Saccharomyces cerevisiae S288C: one gene and its partners. Changing the gene in region 3 together with the main gene of any one other region gives a genetic interaction. Each region holds a gene or a part of one and is shown on either strand. Other genes may lie near its edges.

Region 1 (6,410 bases), on a different chromosome or scaffold from region 3:
GACTAAGCTTTTTAATTTCTAAAATTGGAAAGGGTAATGTAGATACATTTCCAATAGTGATAGATTCATCCAAAGCTATCAAGTATATATCTCCATTGTCTGCTGATATGAATCTTGTTCTTTTAAAATCTAGCTTTGGTTCAATGGTTTTTAATCGATGGGACTGAATCCACTCCAAAGCGATCTTACTGATTGGCGATGGATCCAGTGAGTTTATGAGAGCGCTAATATTTTTTGTGTCGTTGCCACTCCTCATGGCCGAAAGAATATTCTTTACATCCCTTAGAAGCAGATCATTTGTGACAACATGATTTCTTAAGCCGCCCACGTGGCACATTACTATACAAGTATCCTCAGCAGTAGAGCTGACTATCATGTTTGGGTGCTGATTTATATTATCATCAGTAAGTAGTAAAGGACTGCCTTCGTTCCCGACAGTATCTAGTATACTAATAGAAACGTACTTCTCATTGGATTGTACAGCAGAGGGTAATATGTTCTTCTGTTTAGATAGGGATAAGGTATGTTGTAAGTCATTGAATGACTTTGCTGATCTTATAGATTTGTTGCCCGCAGAATTAATATTATCTGTAGTGTCTAAAATCTCCTTTGAAGTGGATATGATGCTATCGTCAATTATCCTAAAACCAATATTCAATAGCATGAACTTCAGTCCCTCTATGTCCTCGGACGATAATAAAAACCTTCCTAGATTCTCTGCTTTATCTATGAGGGCAGTATCGAATTCTAGCGAAGAATCAATCATTTTTGAAGTTTTCTTGTTTGAAAGTAGCGGAATTGACCTTGGAGATGCTGGCAAGGAAGAATTGTTGGCTTCTGGACTTGAACTTGTATGGGCAGATTCATCGGAGCGGTTTAGGGATCTTTGCTCCACTGCTGGCTCAGTTGCATCTTCAAGTTTATTTTCCAAATCATGTAAAACATCAACAATTAGCGAAACTTCTAAAAGATATGGATCTAAATCAAGCTTCATAAATGATATGCCTTCGTGTCCATTTCGTAAACTTTCAGAGTTTCTGATCGACGTAACATACTCACTTGCAGTCAATGGATTTTCACTGTCTTGAGGAAATTCATTTAGTAATTTTTTGAATAACTTTCTCAAGGCAATCCTTTGTATTATCAAAAACCTTGACAGTAGTTGTAGTTCAAAGTTACAATCGTCTACATGAGCGTTGATGATTTTCAGTTTACGAAGGTTGAAACGGTTTCTGGAAGTTTTGTTTAAGCCCTTTGAAAAATCGATTATTGATGATTCCACAGAAAGAATACGAGTGGAAATTTCCTTTATTTTCAAAGAAACAAATAAATTAACATTTTGAAATTCCTGGTCAAAGGCTACTGAACATTGATTCAACAACTTCTCCATGCCCGAATCATTTGGATTGTCATAATCATAAGCCGTTACTTTTTTTATGGCTACTTTTAACTTCTCATAGTTAATATTGTAGAATTTCCATTCAGGGATTGATTTATTCAATATGCGATCTTCAAATTTCATGATTGTACAACCCTTCGTATCTATCCTTACCTAGGGCTGAGATGGAGATATACAAAAAAAAAGCAAAGGTAAAAAGCAAGTATTAAACTCTATCTCTATTATATTCAAGAGGGCAACGGACGAACTATTAATTTATGAATTTTAAAAGTCCTTTGATAGCGTTCACGATAGGGCTTTTTGATCTTGCCTTTGTTTATCTTTTTATCTGTTTTGTTTTTTTTTTTTTTTTTTTCTTGGTTCAGTTTTGACTCTTCCACACACCCATTTCGCTAGCGTAGAACAAGGGGAGACACAAACTTTCTTTTCCTTGCAAGTTAATAACACAACACCCGTCCTCCTGCACTGAATTTACACAGAAGTTAAGAACCGCCTCTGCTTTTCTGGTATTATTTTGCAGCCTTGCCTAAAAAAAGTGTGGTAATTTTTGAGAATAATATATTACTGTGTTTTTCGAAACGAAAGTTCTGAATATTGGCTTGGTCGCTTCCTGATATCTGGAAACTTGTTTAATGTTTTTAATTATCAGTCTTCAAAGCGTCCTGATATGACTTGCCACGTTTCCATCCATTCTATATGTAGTTTAAATACAATGAGATAAAGGGTGCCTGCATGGAACTTTCCATTCGAAAAAAGAGATCATAAACCTTATCTGTCAAATAAAAGCCAATCTATTTGATTAGGTAAAAAAAGTGATGTCAGACCAAAGTGCCCCTCTCCTGCAATGATCATCGATTACGTACGGGTGTAATGATCACGACAGTAAAGTGAGCAAGGTAACTACTATCCCTAAGTGCGGCGTCATTGTAAGTCTACGACGTAGCATATTCAGTTTACTGTACAAGAAAAGTTTTCTCTCTGTAACAAGAGGAAATTGGTTAGCTTTCTACGCTTACTTCGTTTGGTACGATCAGTAAAGGTGAATAAATTAAGATCCACGCCTTCATATGGCAGGATCCACGATATTCCTTGCAATACCCCTGGATAATTCAAAAACCAAATGTTACACGGTATACTTGAAAATCGATACCATATTAGGAACACACCGGCCAAAGGTTGATAATACTTGGTATGAGATAAAACCCGAGCTCAAGGTTTAATGTTAAAATTTTTTGTATATATATATATATAGTAATGGGCTCGGTTGCAAATTTTTATGACTATCTTGAAACTAGTTGAAATTGCAAGAACCGTCACTCTATGGAGTACATGAACAACTAAAAAATAGCTTGAAGATACTTGCCACTCCATGCCATTTCTAGAAAGGGGTCTCTTGAGAAATGTGTGTTAAAATAACGGTTATATAGTTGGAAAGAATATTACTATTTTGCGATTAAGGGATGCCGTATGGCAGGCAAGGAAGTATTTGATCAAGAATACCGATTAATGAAGCATGTTTGCCATTATCGTTGAACCTTGGTATTTCTCAGGTTTCCTTATCGATACGATAGGAATGAGAATCAACTAACATTTATCGACTACAATTCATTATTACTACTATATTATCAAATGCTCTGCAAGGAGATGACCAAAAAGAAATGAGAAACAGTCTTCATCTCAAAATATAGGCAATTACCAGGTATACGATATTTCCTCAAAATGAAAATGCCTAAAATACGACAGAAAAACTTAGGGTGACGACTTTTTAACTAATCACTGAATGCAGCCGAAGCAAGTAATTATTTCCCTCGTTGCTACTCATTGAGGCCGCTCCATATGGAGATTTGAAAAAGGTTCTATTGATTCTTTAACTGGTGTCCATCCCCATGAGAACGTTTTAGTTAATTAACTGCTGGTAAAATAAGCGATAGTTGGTATTTTCAAAGGAATATGAGAAATGCGGGAATACTAGTTAGTAGACTATATTAAAACTTTGTTTCAACAGAATAATATATAGATACAACAGGGCAGTTGTGAAGATTGGCAAATAAATCTTTAAAATAACTTCTTTGTCCGGGCTAAGCAGGATACCACACTTTAAATGATGATTACCACCCCACAAGAGAAGTCGGTCTGAATTTATTAATTCTGGTATCAGCAAATCCCGTATTTCAATAACTTCAAGAAATCTTGTTCCTCGTGGCCCAATGGTCACGGCGTCTGGCTACGAACCAGAAGATTCCAGGTTCAAGTCCTGGCGGGGAAGATTTTTTATACATTTTTCTAGACTTTTGATTTTTATACCTAGTGACAATTAAAATATAGAAAAGAGTTGGTAACCTCAGCTGCCGTACTCTTCAATTTAATTGGAGAAGTTGTCGAGTTTTTTTAAAGTACATTTCATTGGAACAACTAGTGACTAGTTCGAACGCGGAAAGACAATAATAGTACCCATAACGATAACTCCTTCGTTATCTATTGAATAGCTTGCCTTTCAAGTAAATCAATAATCAAGTCTGCGTATATCATTTATCGAGCACTTCTGAAAAAGATACCAGTTACACTGAAATACAACGATCGGATTACATAATGAATAATAACAGCAGAAACAACGAAAATCGAAGCACTATTAACAGAAATAAAAGGCAACTACAACAAGCAAAAGAAAAAAATGAAAATATTCATATCCCCAGGTATATTAGAAATCAACCATGGTACTATAAGGATACCCCCAAAGAACAAGAAGGGAAGAAGCCCGGCAATGATGATACGAGCACTGCAGAAGGAGGAGAAAAAAGCGACTACTTGGTGCATCATAGGCAAAAAGCAAAAGGGGGTGCTTTAGATATTGACAATAATTCAGAACCAAAAATTGGTATGGGTATAAAGGATGAGTTCAAACTAATCAGACCCCAGAAGATGTCCGTCCGAGATTCTCATTCGCTGTCATTTTGTAGGAATTGTGGGGAAGCAGGGCATAAGGAGAAAGACTGCATGGAAAAACCTCGTAAGATGCAGAAGCTTGTTCCCGATTTAAATTCACAAAAAAATAATGGCACAGTTTTAGTACGAGCTACTGATGATGACTGGGACTCCAGAAAAGATAGATGGTACGGTTACTCAGGGAAAGAATACAATGAACTGATAAGTAAGTGGGAGCGTGATAAAAGAAATAAAATAAAAGGAAAAGACAAATCCCAAACTGATGAAACACTATGGGATACAGATGAAGAGATAGAACTAATGAAGTTAGAACTTTACAAGGATTCCGTAGGTTCATTGAAGAAAGATGATGCTGATAATTCTCAGTTGTATAGGACATCAACGAGATTGAGAGAAGATAAGGCTGCTTACTTGAACGACATAAATTCAACGGAGAGTAATTATGATCCTAAATCAAGATTGTACAAAACTGAAACACTGGGCGCAGTTGATGAAAAATCAAAAATGTTCCGCAGACATTTGACAGGTGAAGGCCTAAAATTAAACGAATTGAACCAGTTTGCTAGATCTCACGCTAAGGAAATGGGTATACGTGATGAAATTGAGGATAAGGAAAAAGTACAACATGTTTTAGTCGCCAATCCTACTAAATATGAATATCTGAAGAAAAAACGGGAACAAGAAGAAACCAAGCAGCCCAAGATTGTCAGCATTGGAGATCTGGAAGCTAGGAAAGTAGATGGTACAAAGCAATCTGAGGAACAACGGAACCACTTAAAAGATTTATATGGTTAAGTTATATCATTTGAATTTCCAATATCCTAGTCACGGAGCACGAGAGGTAAAGAATTTAGAAAAAAAAATGCGATGAGCTGAAAAAAATTGTCAAATATAAACTACATTCTTAAGTATACGTATATATCTTGCGCATTCACGGCATAATACACTAAATAGACACTTAAAAAATCGAGTGAGAACATTCACAATGGAGACCTCCAACTTTGTTAAACAATTATCGTCGAACAACAGAAAAACCAGGGTAAATGCACTCGAAGCGTTAAAGAAATATCTAACCGCTAAACAGTTCAAGGAGAACAAACAAATAGAATTCAATAAACTTTGGAAGGGTCTTTACTATGCAATGTGGTTCAGTGACCGTCCTAGACCTCAGCAACGTTTAGCCAATGAATTAGGTGAATTGCATGGATTATATTTTGATCCTAAGGACAATAGCACTGCAGATGAGTTGACCACAAACGATAAAGCATTTATAAAGTTTAGCAGAGGGTTTTGGAAGGTCATGTGCTTTGAATGGTTTAACATTGACAGATATAGGTTGGATAAGTATCTTCTATTGATAAGAAGGGTATTATTCAGTCAATTGAAGTATTTGCAGTCCAGAAACTGGGACAAAAAATTAGTCGACGAGTATATTAAGAAAGTGTTGAGGTGGTTACCTCTGAGTGGAAGTCCAAAGGTCTACACAGGGATTCCAATTCATATCGTCGATATTCTGCTGGACGAATGGGAAAGATTGCTTAAAGATGGAGATGAAGACGATGAAGACGAGGAAAACAAAGAGGAAGAGATGCGCAAAATTGCAGAGAGCGCAAAAAAAACGCCACTAGCCGATGTTATCGCAATTTTCCAAGATATCGTGGCAGATTACAATAACAGTAAGGTGTTGAGAGAGAAGATCAAAGAAGACCTATTCAGTGACACCAGACTTGTTTCCTGGGATATTCTTGAAGGCGAAACGCAACATAATGATTCCAGTAACGAATCTGAAGAAGAGGAAGAGGAAGAGTGGAAGGGATTTTGATTCTTCCTGGCGGTAGTATGTAAGTAATCGTAAGTCGCTCATATAAATTGTAGTTGTATATCTATAGTACGAAAAATTCATTACCCTCTGTGGATATTGGCGGAATGCGAAACACGTCGCCTTTTTTTCCTCGCAACATTTTTTTTATTTTTTTTTCGTTTTGAAATGAAAGAATACTAGTGATTAAATTAAACAAGGAAAATAGTACAGATTGGCGTGTATTGTCCATAACTCGTGTCCATTGTC
Region 2 (5,898 bases), on a different chromosome or scaffold from region 3:
AGGTAACTTATTTTTTTGAGTTGAATCTACTCGGCCTATCCTTGCCAATCCTATCAGTATTCTTACTCGTCCTTTTATTGTGGTTGTTGCCTCCACCGTTGTTTTTCCTACGTTTTTCAATCATCGTGTTATCGAACATGTCTTTCCAATAAGTTATTAGATTTTTTTCGTTTTTAACAAAATGATTTGATAGTGTGTCATTCTTGCCTGACATGATATACCATGATTTATCAGGATAAAACTTCAAAACGGGATCGGTTTTGTAATTGGCTAAAGATTTAGAGTGGAGTAAATTACCACTATTAAGATCATAGAAATATACCATTTCATCTTCTGTACAAATTCCTAGTATTTTACCCAAATGACAGACGTCTAGTGTTGTTACCGCAGAGTTCAAATCGTTAATTATTAATTCACAACATAGTGACTTCATATTCCATACGTAGCAATTCCCATCGATACTCCCAGTAATGAAGTTTCTTCCCCATGGGTCCATTTTGATCTCGGTTATAGGACCAGTATGTGCTTTAATTTTGGTACAAACCTCCAATATGCCATGTTTTGCTTTTAAAATGGCCAAATAACCACTCTTAAAGCCAATAAATATATGACTTCCACCATTGCTCCATGCTAAGGAATACACAACGTCATTATCCTCTTGGCTTATATCGCTGATGTTCAAAGAACAGACAGAGCTGTGATCCTTTTTCACATCAAACAAGTAGATTTTCTCAGATTTGGTGGCAGCTAATAACCAGTTTCCTAATGGATCATAAAGACATGTGTTGACCTTAGTCTTGCTTCCCAATGACAAGGTCCTTAATTTGGATGCCGTTAGCGATTTTTCGTTGATTAAGAGTAAGGATATCTCTGATGAATTGCTCACGACAGCTATTTGATTTAAAGAAGTAGGGTTCCAGGACAAATCAGTAGCCAATTTATCGGAACCACAACAGTCTGGAATATAAACTTCTACAGATTTGTCAAAACTTGCATCTTTAATAAACCAAACGGTCAATGACCCATCCATTCTACTATACGCCATCGATGAACCTGATACGTGAAATTTTAGGGAAAGAATTTCATTTGGAGTTATGGGAGTCGAGGTGAATCTTGAATGAGAACGCGAACTGACATGAATGAACCTTTTATCTTCGATATGACTTGTATTACCTTTAGAAAACGTACTTTGTAGATATTTTGAAGTCACTGAGGCAGCCACTTCAGAAGTTATGGTCTTTTGATTAAGAATATCAACAGCTCCAATTGTCGACATGCCGAATAGTTCACTTGATCCTTTTTATGTATGTAGCTGTACACCAATCAAACCTCAATGAGTGAAGCTTTGTACGTAGAAATACTGAAGAGATATATATTTAACATAATATCTTATGTACGTAACCTGTGGTGCAAGGCTTTTAATTTTCTTAATTCTACTATGAATAATGATAAGTTAGGCAAGACACCTATACATGGTTAGTGGCGTCGTTGGGGTGTAAAAATGAATTGTCCATGCTCGGTTACTGTTTTATACAACGGTACAATAATTTAACGTTTTGTTTCTTCCGTCATCATATCCAGTGGGAAAGGTGTATTTCTAGAAAATAATGTTAACCTTCAAGGTTATGCTTTGCGATATTTGACACTTTCCAAAGAAACATGGGCACTGTTAATATACCTTCAAGTCTACATACATATATATAAACTGCATTTGGCTATCTATCGAACGTAAGCAGGAAAAAAATGGCAATTCGATTGAAAATCCAAAACCCTTTATGATACTGAAGACAACTCCAGTAATTGAATAGGTATGGAATAGTAATTCTCTGAAAACTCCCTTGAAAATTGGGAGGCAATGATACTCCTATTTGTGCTGCATCTCAATTGTTGTGGTAAATAGCGTCCTAAACTTTTTTTTTTTCCTATATATAGATGGCGTCGCTAAAATGGGAAGCTTTGAAAAATGTAGCGATGAGATCACATTAAAAGGGTACTGTATGTGCTCTCGAGACCTTAGCACAAATTTTTGACCTGCGTAGACAGAGATGGTTGGGCCTGGTCTGGGAATTAATCGAGTGAGGAGAAAAGGTGTTTATTCCACAAAAAAGGGAAGTGGTGATAACTTACTGTTAATGAAAAGACAAGGAAAACATGACATACATGATAGAGAAAGTGACGACTTATCAGGCCATGATGCCTTTTCCCCCTCAAAAAAGCGCGGCAAAATAGACAGTATCACAGAAGATGAGATTGAAGTAAAAAAGCTTTCCACTGTGGCCACATTTGATAAACTTTCGAGGTCATTTCCAAATTCAGAAGTACAAGCCGCAAAGAATGCAGCACTCAGAGGAAAAGAAAAAGAAGAAGAGAAGGTCGTTTCTATCCCACTAATACAGAATTTGAAAAATGAAGATATCGAGTCTATCAAATGCAGGAACAATAATCTTTTAGACGGTAAAAAATTACTCTTGGAGGCAGAACTATCGGCAGTTGAAGATAACCAAATCTTCTCCTCTTCATTTCCCGAGGATAAAAAGCTATCGTTACAAAGTTGTTTGAGTTCTAAAGAGCAGATAATCAAAAAACTTCAAGTAAGGGAAGAATACATGAGCAAGTTCAAACTACCACCCATGTTGTTTTCGGATGAGCTACTCACTGAAGTAGAACCCTTCATGCCCATTGTAATGGACATATTGGAGGGAAAGATATCGTCTGTATACTATTTTGAAGCAAAAAATGCATTCAAAAACTCACAAAAGGCTTACTTGTCCGTAGATGAGTTTAGAAAGTTGAATTTAAACAAATTTACTGCTGGATTTTACGGCCTGAAAAGGCAATTGAGGGTTGGCGAAGAAATCGCTAAGAGATATAAAAGGGCACTCACGCACAATCAGCCCGCAACCTTAAAATGGTGGGGGATAACAGATTTCTGTAACTACGTTTTGGCTCCAGAAACCCTTACGTCTTTTTGTATTTACCAATTAAATCTCTCGAATAAATCTTGCTCGTCGAAGACACCGAATAAACATCCAAAGCAACAATTAAACGAGAAGGAATATTACTACGATCCCGAATTAAGGATGCTAGCCTATGACTTACTCGAGGATACAGTTGAATACGGTATCATAGTAGCCGACTCTGATCCAATTGAGCAATGGGAAGCTGCCATAGAGGAAGACCGTCTGCGGGAACTGAAACTCGATGTTCATAACTATTCCAGCAGGAGATGGCGACTGGATACGCACGATTAAACAGGTAGTATATTGCCGTTTGTTGCCTTTATGGCTTAGGGATTTGAGCTTTATAGTAAGAACTGCTGTGGTGTCATGATAGACGAAATGCTGAAAAAATTTTCTTTTCGTTCCTTTTCTCTTTTGGCAAGAGTTGTAATAAGGTCATCGATGGATTAGAAATGCTCTTTCTGCTTTGGGGGCACTTGAGGATTGTATTATTTTAAGGCTTTCCCTTCAGAAATCAGGAAAAAAGAAAAGAATACGAAAAAGATGTCTCAAAAAGCTTGTTACGTTTGCGGTAAGATTGGCCATTTGGCAGAAGACTGTGATTCTGAAAGACTATGTTACAACTGTAACAAACCCGGTCACGTTCAAACGGATTGTACCATGCCAAGAACAGTTGAATTCAAGCAATGTTACAATTGTGGTGAAACCGGTCACGTTAGAAGTGAATGTACTGTGCAACGTTGTTTCAACTGTAACCAAACCGGCCACATCTCCAGAGAATGCCCTGAACCAAAGAAGACCAGCAGATTCTCCAAAGTTTCATGTTATAAATGTGGTGGTCCAAACCATATGGCTAAGGACTGTATGAAAGAGGACGGAATTAGTGGATTGAAATGTTACACTTGTGGTCAAGCTGGCCACATGTCCAGGGACTGTCAAAATGACAGGCTTTGTTACAACTGTAACGAAACTGGCCATATTTCCAAGGATTGTCCAAAGGCTTAGGTGAAACATCCACTGAAAAAAACAAAGGAACAATCACTTATCATGCTATATTTCATAGAGGGGAAAAAAGAAGCACAAGTAAACTGAATATTTAAGTTTATTTTCTATATCTTTTCTATACTTCATTTCACTTGTTTCCTCCCTTGGTTATTTTTAACGATTCTTTATTATGAAACAGGAAAAAAAATTATTACAAAACAGAATTACATATTTAATCTATATAACTAACCTTTATTCCAAACCTTTATAAATAGCATCTGCTAATTTAATGCTCTTCGAACAATTTTTAACGTCATGGACCCTAACCATGTCGCTGCCGAAACCAATACACGACGCTACCACCGCTCCAGTAGCAAAGTCTCTTTGCTTCGCATCCACATCTTTTGTGATATGTCCAATGAATTTTTTGCGCGATGGACCCAATAAAACGGGCATATTTCTGAGGTTAACATACACTTGCGAATTGTTTGAGTTCATGGTGAATGAGTAGTTCTTTAAAATGGGGATATGTCTAATAATTTGTAAGTTTTGCTTCCAGGTCTTAGCAAAACCAAGTCCAGGGTCGATTAGAATTTGCCAGCGCTTTACTCCATTATCAATCGCTTTGATATACCTTTCGCCAATTTCTTGACCAACATTCCTGATTAACACTGTTTTGTCTTTCAAGTCGTCTAGCTGCTGAATGTCGGTATTATGAACAAATTCTTGCTGAATAGAATCACCCAATGCAAAATTTTCGTAATGCGCCAGCCTATTCATCGTTGAAATATCACCACGTGTGTGTGATAAAATATAACAAATTTCTGGGTTCTCTGCAATTACGGCAAACATGTTGCTGTCAAATAAACCTCCCGAAATATCATTAATAATATCCACTCCAACTTTAATCGCTTCTTTAGCGACATTGGAACGATAAGTATCAATGGATAGTATGACTTTATCTTGCGGTAACTCAGTGCTTTCTCTAATGGCCTTAATTAATGGGATAGACCTGCGTATTTCTTCTTCCTCAGACGCCTGAATAGAGTTAGGCCTGGTAGAACACCCTCCAACGTCGATGATGACGCTCTCATGCAAATATAATGCGTCTTTACACAATTTAATGATATCATTCAATTGACTTTCAATGTCCGCAAAATGCTCACCTCCATCGGAAAATGAATCTGGTGTAGCGTTGAAGATAGCCATGATATATGTAGGTGAAACAGTAATTCTGTTTGTTTCTCCAGTAAATTCGTCAAGTTTTGTAGCGGTCTTGAATTTCAAAAATCTAGGCTCCACACCACTACGATAAGGCAATGGAACTAATTTCCATAAGGTATCTTCATCATGCTGTTTGTCGTATAACTGTTTTAAATGGTCTACAATGGGTTCCGCTGTCACAGGATGAAGGTGAACGGGGGATATTAATTCACATAACGGCTCAAGAACGAAAGTCCTCTCCAGCATTCTAGGATGCGGTATATTCAAATCCGGTTCATTTACTATAATATCTTCTCCGGCGCTATTCAAAAACATAACAATATCCAGATCTATTGTTCTCGGACCATTATCAAAATGCTTGACTCTTTGCAACTCTTCATATTCAATTTTTTTACACAATTTTAATAATTCGCTTGGGGTCAGTAATGTCTCCACCTCAACACACCCATTCATGAAAGGGGTTTGATCTTTGAAATACATTGGTTCACTTTCAAAAATAGACGAAATATTCCGTAATTTAACCGTTTTTTCCCTTGATAATAATTGCAACGCCATTTGAATGTGTTTGAAACGGTCCCCAATGTTTGAACCAAACGCTAAAAACGCTCTTTTCCATGTATTTTTACCCTCAATAGGAGTGTTTTGTGATGAAGACAATTGGAACTTAATATCAGACGATTCATGTATGGAGGAAAGATATGGAATATTTACCATCGCAATCTCCCTGGGC
Region 3 (6,332 bases):
ATGCAGTATTGTCCTATTGTAACTTGAACTTACAAAACAATAAGCTATTGAACTTTCGAGAAAGACTGCTACGCAATGCTAAACTGAAAATGGTTTGCAACGCATCAATCTTGAGCATGTCGCTACTAAGGTCACAGGAGACAAGACAGTTTCACCCGTGTTCTCATGAATTGAGAGAATGCGCATCTCAGGCTGCCAAATACTGTCAAGAACAAAATGTCGACTTAGCCGATTTGGCCACAAGATACGCGATTTCGGAATGGGTAGGAAAGGGACCCGTTGTTCTTGGAGTCAGTAGCATGGAAGAATTGAAACTTGCTCTGGATAATTACGAAATTGTGAAATCGAATGGCAACAGATTATCTTCTAAGGACGGACAACTAGTAGAATATATCCAAAAGAATATTTTTAAAGAACATTTTAATGAAGAGTGGTCTTCAGGTATTCCTCATCCAGAAATGATATAATCACCCCAAAAAGAAAAAAAATTTGTCAAATTTTAGTTTATATTCATTTGTTCTATTTACATATGTAAGTTTTTCCTTTTCTTCTTTTTTAGTTTTTTCCTTTTAAAATTTCTTCTTCTGCAATTCCTCTAAATATTTTTGCTTTCGTCTTAACTTTTCCTTCAGAATGTCATCTCCAGCCTTCATTTTGTCATTCCATTCCACTATTCTTCGCAATATACTCATCACGGTGAGTATACATATATAAAAGTAGATGATGAAGCCTGAAATGTAAACATTCCTTTGGTTATATGCCCTTGAAGCCAGTGCATCCACTGGGGTTACACTATTTATTATATAGGGATTTTTCTGGTTGCGGTACGTAGACACTCTGATCTGTGACCTTTTCCATGAATCGATGAACAAAAGACCAACGAAGATCATGATTCCAACCATATAAGTTCTGAATTTCTTATTAGTACTTATGATACTGTAGCGTATATACAGCCACCTTCTCATACGCTGTGGAAGCGGAAGTACCAAAATAAACAGAATGGCCATTTCGATGACCAGTAACGAAAAGAGTACTGCCAAATAAACACCCATCACTAACTCGACTTTGAAATTTTGCTTAGTATTTTTCTATTCACATAATTCATGCTCCAACGAACACTCAGCGTATTTATTTACTTCCAGGCGGCTAGCTTTTCTCAGAGAAGGCCAGCTGTACATATATTGCTCTATCAACCCTTTTTTTTCCCTTGTCTTTTTTCCAAGAAAACCATTTTGCCTAATTGACACAAGCCTACACAACCAAGTTAGCCGTTAAACACAGCAGACGTATCTCGATCTCGTCAATGATATATACGTGTTTTTTGGAAGAATGAGATGGGATAGTAATACACCAAAAATGGGCTGATCATCCGATGTTATTATCAACCATTGGTGGATGGTCAAGACAGCGGCGCTAAATGCCACAGCCTCGATCCGGGTAATACTTATTTTGAGTTTTTTCAGCTGGGACGAATTATCATCACTAACAAGGACAATGAGTATAGCACTGCACACACACACGTTTTATCTTTACGTTATACGTAATTTTTCCCTCCTTTTAATGATGAGAATTTATTAATACATTCATTTGAATGGGAATTTTACTTTTACCTTCCTCAAATTTCTTTATCAAAACTCAAGTTTTCCTCTCTTTTCATCTCCTCTTCCTCTCCTTTCTTTCTTTCTCTCTTTCTTTTTCTCTCTTGGCTTGCCTTCTGCTCTCTATTCTTGATGAAAATTCTTAATTTGATCCAGGGAACGATAGGAAGACAAGAGAAGAGGTTGTAAACGTGAATTTTGTAAAAGTCCCCAATCAAAGAAACACTTTTGGTTGCCCACTTAAGAAAGCTATTTAATATTAAATCTTTCCGTACACATCAATTTTTCGACATATATACAAACACAAGCGCTATGTCATATTACAACAGGTATAGGAACAAAAGAAGAAGCGATAATGGTGGAGGAAACTTAAGTAACAGTAACAATAACAATGGTGGTATGCCATCTGGACTATCCGCATCAGATGCAATTTTTGATCTGGGTAAAAATAAGAGGGTCACGGTAAGACAATTTAGAAACATAAATTTAATTGATATCCGTGAGTACTATCTGGACTCATCTACAGGCGAAATGAAACCTGGGAAGAAAGGTATTTCGTTGACAGAAGATCTATACGACGAATTGCTTAAGCACAGATTGAATATTGATGAAGCCTTGAGAAGGCTAGGATCCAAGAGACCAAAAACCAAAATGGTTAGACTATTGTCCGACGACGAATATGAAGATGATAACAATAATGACAGTACTAATAACGACAAGGATAAAAACGGGAAGGACAAGAACAGCCCAAAGAAGAGGAGAGAAGATAAGTCCAAAGCATCTAATGAGAGTCATGACTTGGAGCCACGTTCAAAGAAGAAGAAACCTGCTCCACCTACTCTACTTCCACACGAGGAAAACATTCAAAACGCTGAAAGAGAAGCCAATGCTACTTTGATCATCCCAGGCCAGGCAGGTAGGAAACAACAAGAGGAACGCAAGCAAAAGGAAAAAGAAGAGGCAGAGGAGGCAAAGGCAAAAGCAGTTGCAGAACAAGAGAAAGAGGCAAAGGCAAAAGAAAAGATAGCTGAACCTGAACCTGAACCTGTACCCACACTTCAAGCTAAAAAAGAAGATATTGTCTCCAACATAAACGAGTCAAAAGATGCAAATTCTAGTGACGAAGAATTTGCTCAAAGCTTGGAAGCTGAAATGAACAAGGCTGAAGACGACATAAGTGAAGAAGAATAATAGTCCTGGAAGTTGAGCTTGCTTATGTCAACGTCTTCCATCCAACGAGCTTATTAGAGAATAAAAAAAAAAAAAAAGAAATAAAAATATATACTTTTCTGTTTGTCAAATTCATTTTAACAATTCATATAATCAAATATGTGATTTATAATAACCAGACAAAAGTTAATCTTGTACATTTCAGTATAATATACTATCAAAAAAAAATTTGCGCTTACTAAGCATTTTCCCCGTACAACTAGTACACAGTGAGAATGGAAGAGGGTAAAAATTCATTGTTCGGAAAAATAATATATTAAAGGCAAGCCAAAAAAAAAAAATTTAGACTAAGAAAAGAATAAAGATATCTTTGCAAGGCAGAAACCCATTCGATCAGCACAAAAATGACCACGAACGATACATACGAGGCTACTTATGCCATTCCCATGCACTGTGAAAATTGCGTGAATGATATAAAGGCATGCCTAAAAAATGTCCCAGGAATCAATTCATTGAATTTCGATATAGAGCAACAAATAATGAGCGTGGAAAGCTCAGTAGCCCCTTCAACCATCATCAACACCTTGCGAAACTGTGGTAAAGACGCCATCATAAGAGGCGCCGGGAAGCCGAATTCTTCCGCGGTCGCTATCTTAGAGACCTTTCAAAAATATACTATAGACCAGAAAAAGGACACCGCCGTGAGGGGCCTAGCAAGAATCGTTCAGGTTGGAGAGAATAAGACTCTTTTTGACATCACTGTAAATGGCGTCCCAGAGGCGGGAAATTACCACGCCAGCATTCACGAGAAAGGCGACGTCTCCAAGGGCGTGGAATCTACTGGTAAAGTTTGGCACAAGTTCGACGAACCCATTGAATGCTTCAACGAGAGTGATTTGGGCAAGAACTTGTACAGTGGGAAGACCTTTCTGAGCGCTCCCTTGCCAACATGGCAACTTATCGGCCGCAGCTTTGTCATTTCCAAGTCTCTGAACCACCCAGAAAACGAGCCTTCCTCCGTTAAGGACTACTCATTTCTGGGAGTCATTGCGAGAAGCGCTGGTGTGTGGGAAAATAATAAACAAGTGTGTGCGTGTACCGGAAAGACTGTTTGGGAAGAGAGAAAAGATGCCTTGGCCAACAACATCAAATAGAACATCCAAGATAGCACAACGTAGCGTAATACAGATATAACATAATATAGTATACTACATCATAACCACGTGATGCCGGACATGTACATACGCATGTGGCAATATGCCAAAGCCGGTTTCCAATCCTACTTCATATTGCCTTGTCCCTCCGGTTTCGCCGGCAACAACGGCCCGGAACGTACCTAAAGAGGTATTTCGCTCTTGGTATCCGTACCTCACTTATCTCCAGCACCTATCGTTCCTGGCCAGACGGCCGGAGTTGATCTTTCGTCTTTCTCCGGAAACCACGGCGTTCAGCTACGCATTCCGTAGCAGCCAAGCCGGTTCTTGACACCATCTGTCTACGTCATACATATCGGCTCTTTTTGTCTCTAATAAATTAAAGAGAGCCATTTATACGAAAAAAACACCTTTTTACGAATTTCAGAAAATCAGAATGGGAAAAACAAACTGCGGAAAAGAAAAACAAGACACCGAAAATATATACAATTTCCCCTCTACAGACAACATATAGTATTGACACTTACTTATTTATATTTGTTGTTTCCAGCGAAAGAGACAGGTAATAAAGACAAATAGCAGAACAAAGTGGTGTTTGTTGCCTGATATCAGCACCAGTCAGACTTGGCCCTTTTACTTTTATCGCGTAAACCGTGTTCCCTTTTTTTGCCTTCCTGTTTGGTAATAGTAAGAAAGCAGCACGAGCTCAACAAGACTTCCCAGTTAGAAACTGTGTTACACGAAAATAAAACAGACGGAAACCTTGGAGATAACAGAAACTAGTCTGTAATACGAAAAGTTCAAAAAAAAAAAGATATTGCTTTTTTCTTCCTTACTTTATCGGTATCTTCCTCATATTTTTCGGGAAGATCACAACAGTAGTAGCAAGGTATTTCATACGCCAAGAGGCTACCTTTTTTTCTTTGGTTTTATTTGCTTTATTTTTTCTTTCTTTTTTCAACTTTTATTGCTCATAGAAGAACTAGATCTAAAATGACGGTCGACCATGATTTCAATAGCGAAGATATTTTATTCCCCATAGAAAGCATGAGTAGTATACAATACGTGGAGAATAATAACCCAAATAATATTAACAACGATGTTATCCCGTATTCTCTAGATATCAAAAACACTGTCTTAGATAGTGCGGATCTCAATGACATTCAAAATCAAGAAACTTCACTGAATTTGGGGCTTCCTCCACTATCTTTCGACTCTCCACTGCCCGTAACGGAAACGATACCATCCACTACCGATAACAGCTTGCATTTGAAAGCTGATAGCAACAAAAATCGCGATGCAAGAACTATTGAAAATGATAGTGAAATTAAGAGTACTAATAATGCTAGTGGCTCTGGGGCAAATCAATACACAACTCTTACTTCACCTTATCCTATGAACGACATTTTGTACAACATGAACAATCCGTTACAATCACCGTCACCTTCATCGGTACCTCAAAATCCGACTATAAATCCTCCCATAAATACAGCAAGTAACGAAACTAATTTATCGCCTCAAACTTCAAATGGTAATGAAACTCTTATATCTCCTCGAGCCCAACAACATACGTCCATTAAAGATAATCGTCTGTCCTTACCTAATGGTGCTAATTCGAATCTTTTCATTGACACTAACCCAAACAATTTGAACGAAAAACTAAGAAATCAATTGAACTCAGATACAAATTCATATTCTAACTCCATTTCTAATTCAAACTCCAATTCTACGGGTAATTTAAATTCCAGTTATTTTAATTCACTGAACATAGACTCCATGCTAGATGATTACGTTTCTAGTGATCTCTTATTGAATGATGATGATGATGACACTAATTTATCACGCCGAAGATTTAGCGACGTTATAACAAACCAATTTCCGTCAATGACAAATTCGAGGAATTCTATTTCTCACTCTTTGGACCTTTGGAACCATCCGAAAATTAATCCAAGCAATAGAAATACAAATCTCAATATCACTACTAATTCTACCTCAAGTTCCAATGCAAGTCCGAATACCACTACTATGAACGCAAATGCAGACTCAAATATTGCTGGCAACCCGAAAAACAATGACGCTACCATAGACAATGAGTTGACACAGATTCTTAACGAATATAATATGAACTTCAACGATAATTTGGGCACATCCACTTCTGGCAAGAACAAATCTGCTTGCCCAAGTTCTTTTGATGCCAATGCTATGACAAAGATAAATCCAAGTCAGCAATTACAGCAACAGCTAAACCGAGTTCAACACAAGCAGCTCACCTCGTCACATAATAACAGTAGCACTAACATGAAATCCTTCAACAGCGATCTTTATTCAAGAAGGCAAAGAGCTTCTTTACCCATAATCGATGATTCACTAAGCTACGACCTGGTTAATAAGCAGGATGAAGACCCCAAGA
Region 4 (6,255 bases), on a different chromosome or scaffold from region 3:
ATATTCAAACGGCAACCGCAGTTATCGTTCATTCCTATACAGTTCAACACATGTAAGAATCAGGTTTCATTCCCACTTTTGTTAACCATGAAGTTTTTAGTATGTAAACTAATTTGTCTTTTTATCTAATTGTGACTATATTTTTATAAATTCTCCAGTGATCGTACTACGTCGGGGGCGTATTTCTCCACCATTGCAAGACCTTGCTTCAACAAATGAGGTTTAAAGCTTTTAACGTTTGAATCATTCAATGCTACTGATCTGATAGGTGATGTAATCTTACCATTAGACCAGGAAATGATTAGGCCATTATTGGCCACTTCGCTTTCGTTGGCTGCAGGGTCCAATAGCATATTGTTGCCTACAACGGCCAATATAAACACTAAAGGCGGATTAATGTCAAGCTTAACCATGTCGTAATCATGAAACGTAGGAAGTTCTTCCACCTCTAAGTCGTCAAAAGCTGAAATAAGTTTCGGTAGGTATGTGGAGTTCAACGCTGAATAAATAGCAAAGGATATTAAAGAAACTGGGTGTGAATGTGATGAAATGACCAGAACATCGACAAATATTTTGAAGCTGTACTTTTTTGTCAATTGCAACTTTGAGGAATCTACTCCGCTACCAGACTTCAAAACCTTGTTCAGTAAAGAAGTGATTGTCTCTACTACCAGCGCGTCATCTCTTTGGCCTGCGATATCTACATCGACCTGAAGTAGTTCATTCTCCACATGATGATCCACAACTTTGGACTTAATGCTCACGATACATTCACTTCCATCACTAGCTATAATTCTGGACGATCCATTGGAACTTGGTAGGAAGTCAGTAAATATTTCTATAGGTCTGAATTGATGAGGTAGTCTTCCATCGGGCCTAATTGAAGGCGTGCTTGCTAGTGAATCGTATAGGTACGACTTTTCGGCGACCGAAAGAGACATAAATGATTATTTCAACAGAATCTCAAACTGTCGTTGTGCTAGTCAAAAAGAATGCCTTTTGCCGTCTACAGACTATTAGTATCATTGTACTCCTTCACCATATAAGCTCTACGTTTCTTTTTTCTGAATATTAGAAAAAAATTTCGCCAACTAGGGTTCAAAATAATAGACTAGGGCACGGAAGAAAAGCACACCCTAGGGCTTTCGGAGATAAATTATTAATAGCGAGTTTTTTTTGTATTTACTTATTTTATTATTTCTTTAAGATATCTAGTAGTAAGGATAGAACGGGTAGATAGAATAGACAAATGGAGTTATTGAAATATTTATACGAAGAGATAGAACAGAGAGACAAAGAGTATGACGTGAAAATGATGCGCAGTAAAACTAAATCCCGTCTCTTAAATGAATATGCTGTTTGGTGTCACGACGTCCACATTTGAATTGTCCATGTCAACGTCAGGGCCCTTGTTGGTGTTGTCCTTTGCCTCTACCTCGTGCTTACTCTTGCCATGGCCCGTCTTTCTATATACCGTTTCTTGCTCCAATGCGTCCACTCTCTCATTGTAATTGTTTAGCACAATTTCGTTCTCCCTGACAGAGTCCTTGTACAGCGCCAGGTCTCCCGAATCAATGTTCTCCAAGTCGTCGCTGTCGTCAGCTTCAAGACGGTCGTCAGCACCCTCCAACTTAGCTATGTATTTACCCAAGCGGGCGTTAGACCTCTGCAAATGATTGATACTGTTCTCAATTTCTGTTTTAATCTGTGCCAACTCCATGTCGGACATGCCGCTTATCGCCGTCTTAAATTCTTCGATCTGGATTGGTCTTCTGATACCGCCTGCTGAGCACATTATGTTACTTGTAGTAGTTATTATGTTTTGATTTGCTTTATGTTTTATAAAGATCTTACCCCTCTTTTTGTCAAGAGAAATAAGCTTCTGAAGTATTGTTTTCCTGGTGAAAAGTGTCTTATTTATATGGAGAAGGGATATTCGGCCTCGGTTTTAGGGGAGGAGCTGAAGAGTTGTCCCGCTCGAAAAAGACCCGTAAGCGCATTTATCGAACTACGAAGTAAAATGGACTTTCGTAGGTGTGGACAATAGTAAATTGCAAGTCAATCCCGGGATGACGTCAAGATAGACAGTCAATCTGTCACAGAGGAATGCTTGCTAATCCAGGAGCTGGCGAGCTGGCTAGCTGTGGAGACTATTCCACCATGGTACACACTAGGATCCTCGATCTTGGTGAGCCATGAGTAGAACTTGTTTGGTTCCACCCCTCCGGTTGCCATGTTTATATCTTCCTCAGCAAACTGTTTATCTTGCATTGGTGAGGCGATTGGGTCATCTCTTTGGAAATGGGCGGTAACAAGGTGGTCAACCACCGGCCAGCCGTAAGCGTTGGAAAACCTTCTTCTTACGATGATGTTATTGTGGGCATCTGGTTTCAGCAATACCACGACTTTCCTCCAATGCATCCCCTTGTGCCAGCGGCGTGCTATGATTTCCTCCATCTCTTTTCTCGTCTTCCTCGTTTCGCCTTCCTTGGCTGCTGTTCCTTCATAAAGTGTTGGTGATGGAGGCGGTAAATTCTTTTCTGTGTAGATCTTATCATGTATGATTGTTGCGACCCTTGCATCGGGATCTGAGAAGAACTTTGCGTCGGGGCATGGTGATAGAAGCACAGACTTCATAGATTTGATGACGGAAGCATTCATCAAGCGTTTAGATTTCTTGTCGCAGTTATTTTCCTTGCTCTTCCAAAACGTGTTCCATGACGATGCATTGATTCCATCATCATCATTAGCAACATCGCTATGATTTGGAAGTTCCCCAATAGGACTTACTTCAGGCTGGAAGAGAGGATCACAAGGTGCCGTAGTTTGACCTCCCAGTTTCTGAAGTAATTGAGAGTAGTCCAAAAAAAGTAAAGAAGAGGAGTACAAGGGAACTATTCCGTCGTTGACGGCATTAGCATAAAGTGTTCTTCTTTTGAATCGAGCAAGCACACTGATTAAGGATTCCTCGGATAGCAGGTAAAGTAGGGGCTTATCACCATAATTTCCATCCTTAAGACCCAGTTCTTGCCCCGTAGTACCAATGATACCCATCGACAATGACATTTTTACGTAATTGGGCGTGCTGGTAGCAATGCCTAGCAATGGTGACGCCAGTGAGATAAAATTGATTGGCTCCACTTTCTTAAAGAAATATGGATATTTGGTCTTTATGTAACAAATAGCAAAAGTTTGTGTTAATCCACCCAGGGAATGACCAATAAATGAAATTTTCCCAACAGAGTCATCATATAACTCGTCGATGATGTAGTTTGCCAATCCAACACCCAAAAACTTAATACCCTTCTCAGTCTCACAAGCATTCTTCATATATCCCTTAATAACTAGTCGCTCATTTGGATTGTTCATTTGAGCCTTGTATATTTCTTCCATTAAGTATTCCATATCTGCCGAAACGTTTGATTGAAAACCATGCGTGAGAATGACTAAATGGGATTTTTGCGACATGTCTATGGGTCGTGGTACTTTCCATATATCTGCGGTGGTAAGTCTATGCACCGATAATCCTGTGTGTAAAATATTGCAGGCTTTATCAGGCAATGAATCATTACATCGTATTTTTCTTTTCAAAGAGGCCTTTGAATTGCCGACTACTATCTCAAAAGTTACCTTAGTTTCTTTATTAAATAGTATTTGACTGACAATATCCACTATCCATACATAGCGTGGCTTAATGTGGTGCAAGGACAACTCTGCAATAAACTTTTGTTGTGCCTGTAGGTTTGATTGAAATACTGGTTTATCCGCCGAACATATGATCTTATACGAGCTTTCGTAATCTTTTGCTCGCACGTCACAATATAAGATAAATGGGCCCAATAGATAGGCTGGTTTATAGGATAGCTTTGTGGTATTTTTGATCTTTACCCATAGGGAATCCAGTGTGATATCAGCGGGAATACTATCACCCTGGTATAGCTCATATGTAATAACGTATCTTTCTAACTCACCTAACTTTACTGACGACTGATTGTGGTATAGCACTTCATCAGCACTCCTGCCAGCTTCCATATTACTACCGTTTCCCCGATGTTTTTGGGTGAATAAGGTCAGGTGAGCATTTTTTGTACTGATATTTTTTCTCTTTGTTTGCAGACACAACGCTTGCTGTTAATACGCTAAAAACATACCACACTACCTTGAACAAATCCTCCAAGAGAAATTTGTAAGAATTCAGAAGCGGTTTCAGGGGAAGTCGGCTTAGTTGTCAATTGTAATTGAAAATCACCCTCTAATTTGAAAGATTTTCAGTTTCAATAAGACATCAATCTTGCCAGTTTGTAATTTTTTGGTATATAGAAATGGTCTTCAAGCATAAGCCTTAAGAAAGATTCGTCCATTGGATGAACCTACAATTTTTTTTGTGTTATGATGTGAAGCTTCATTTGAAGCATTGTGCAGAGAATATTACAAGTAGATTCAAAAAACACATTGAAAAAAAATACAAGTGAAATCACAGTTACTTAAAAGTCATCAAAAAAAATATTCCCGGCCTCAGAGCGAACATATGAAAGTGAATATGGAGTACACAAAGGGTATGTGGGGGTTATATATTGTCGTCTTTCTTTTAACATTCAATAATGATACTAACGTTGATTAATGATGATTCATCGCAGAAAAGAAAGTTGGTGAGGGTACTTATGCGGTTGTTTACTTGGGTTGTCAACACTCTACTGGAAGAAAGATTGCTATTAAGGAGATCAAAACATCCGAATTTAAAGATGGTTTAGATATGTCAGCTATCCGTGAAGTTAAGTACCTCCAAGAAATGCAGCATCCGAACGTCATAGAACTAATAGACATATTTATGGCTTATGATAATTTAAATCTCGTTCTGGAGTTCCTACCAACTGATCTAGAGGTGGTAATAAAAGACAAATCAATACTGTTTACACCAGCAGATATTAAGGCATGGATGCTTATGACTTTGAGGGGCGTGTATCATTGCCACAGAAATTTCATTTTGCACAGGGATCTGAAACCAAACAATTTATTATTTTCACCTGATGGCCAGATAAAAGTAGCAGATTTCGGTCTAGCAAGGGCGATACCGGCCCCACATGAGATACTGACAAGTAACGTCGTAACAAGATGGTATAGAGCGCCAGAATTGTTGTTTGGAGCTAAACATTACACATCGGCTATTGATATCTGGTCAGTAGGCGTTATATTCGCGGAATTAATGCTAAGGATACCTTATTTACCAGGACAGAATGATGTCGATCAAATGGAAGTAACGTTCAGGGCCTTAGGGACACCTACAGATAGAGATTGGCCCGAAGTTTCTTCCTTTATGACGTATAACAAGTTACAAATATATCCGCCCCCTTCAAGAGATGAATTGAGGAAAAGGTTCATTGCTGCTAGCGAATACGCCTTAGATTTTATGTGTGGAATGCTAACGATGAACCCACAAAAGAGGTGGACCGCTGTTCAGTGTTTAGAAAGTGATTATTTCAAAGAATTACCACCACCAAGTGACCCGTCTTCAATAAAAATACGTAACTGATATGATTTTATAAAATTTGTAGAATCTGTGTTATTGACATTAGATGTATCCTCAACATATACAAATAAACTTCTTGATGCGTCTTGTTTTTTGGTGTTGAATTTTAACTCTTTTCCATCATTATGGAATTCGTTTTTAGATTTTAACAACAACAATATGAGGGGAGACAAACAGTAGCAGACGAAAACGAAAACAAAAGCAAGAAATATCTGATCTAAAATATGCAGAGGTTTGTCAGTAAGTTTGTTTCCACACCACCAGTACCCAAAAAGTTTCAAGAGATTTTCCCGAAGAAACGTACGGTTAACAAAATTTTATTCCAGTTAGATACAAGGCTTACATACCATGAAATGTACCCGATATTTCTGCAGGTATCACAAAATACTAATGAAGAGAATATCCCATGGAGGAAGAAATACCCCTATATAAGGAGTTCAGACATTATGCAGATGCGAAACGTCTTGATAACTCTAAGGACGCAGAACAAATTCGTCCACAAAGACTTATTAGCTATGGAGGATAAATTATTGAATATTGCTGCCGAACTTGGCAACAACGATGCTATATCCATCCTAAGCTTCAACGTGATACATGAATATAAAAAGGAAAACGTCAAATCCAGTTATGAAAAAGACATTGAAACGGCTAATGAATTCATAAAGAAGCTGTATGCGCGTAACCATCATTTAACGGTTAAATTAATAGGGGACCTGTTTTTCGAAAAC

Evidence for each region.
Region 1: mutations in SUB1 (region 3) and SLU7 together harm fitness more than expected from each alone (negative genetic interaction), as found in Saccharomyces cerevisiae (2 studies listed by BioGRID).
Region 2: mutations in SUB1 (region 3) and GIS2 together harm fitness more than expected from each alone (negative genetic interaction), as found in Saccharomyces cerevisiae (3 studies listed by BioGRID).
Region 4: mutations in SUB1 (region 3) and KIN28 are lethal when combined (synthetic lethality), as found in Saccharomyces cerevisiae (2 studies listed by BioGRID, with this or other methods).

The regions. Positions count from the first base shown.
Region 1 is NC_001136.10:617,224-623,633, reverse strand, and holds SLU7 (mRNA splicing protein SLU7), read left to right. Parts: upstream 1-3,988; coding exon 3,989-5,137; downstream 5,138-6,410. Other genes in the region: VTC5 (Vtc5p), read right to left, coding at 1-1,522; RRP1 (Rrp1p), read left to right, coding at 5,328-6,164. UniProt on the Saccharomyces cerevisiae protein: Essential protein involved in the second catalytic step of pre-mRNA splicing. Involved in the selection of 3'-type splice sites; this selection could be done via a 3'-splice site-binding factor, PRP16.
Region 2 is NC_001146.8:165,396-171,293, reverse strand, and holds GIS2 (mRNA-binding translational activator GIS2), read left to right. Parts: upstream 1-3,503; coding exon 3,504-3,965; downstream 3,966-5,898. Other genes in the region: TEX1 (Tex1p), read right to left, coding at 8-1,276; RTC4 (Rtc4p), read left to right, coding at 2,046-3,251; trifunctional dihydropteroate synthetase/dihydrohydroxymethylpterin pyrophosphokinase/dihydroneopterin aldolase FOL1, read right to left, coding at 4,197-5,898. UniProt on the Saccharomyces cerevisiae protein: May act in the sexual differentiation pathway.
Region 3 is NC_001145.3:345,101-351,432, reverse strand, and holds SUB1 (chromatin-binding transcription coactivator SUB1), read left to right. Parts: upstream 1-1,910; coding exon 1,911-2,789; downstream 2,790-6,332. Other genes in the region: D-arabinose 1-dehydrogenase (NAD(P)(+)) ARA2, read left to right, coding at 1-467; YET2 (Yet2p), read right to left, coding at 570-1,052; copper chaperone CCS1, read left to right, coding at 3,173-3,922; stress-responsive transcriptional activator MSN2, read left to right, coding at 4,916-6,332. UniProt on the Saccharomyces cerevisiae protein: Plays a role in the release of TFIIB from the transcription complex during transcription initiation. Binds to TFIIB and specifically inhibits the formation of the TBP-TFIIB-promoter complexes.
Region 4 is NC_001136.10:263,170-269,424, forward strand, and holds KIN28 (TFIIH complex serine/threonine-protein kinase subunit KIN28), read left to right. Parts: upstream 1-4,528; coding exon 4,529-4,556; intron 4,557-4,637; coding exon 4,638-5,530; downstream 5,531-6,255. Other genes in the region: TRM3 (tRNA (guanosine(18)-2'-O)-methyltransferase), read left to right, coding at 1-56; exosome non-catalytic core subunit RRP42, read right to left, coding at 144-941; TMA17 (Tma17p), read right to left, coding at 1,343-1,795; YDL109C (putative lipase), read right to left, coding at 2,089-4,032; MSS2 (Mss2p), read left to right, coding at 5,752-6,255. UniProt on the Saccharomyces cerevisiae protein: Catalytic component of the TFIIK complex (KIN28-CCL1 dimer) which is the protein kinase component of transcription factor IIH (TFIIH) and phosphorylates the C-terminal domain of RNA polymerase II during transition from transcription to elongation after preinitiation complex (PIC) formation, thereby positively regulating transcription.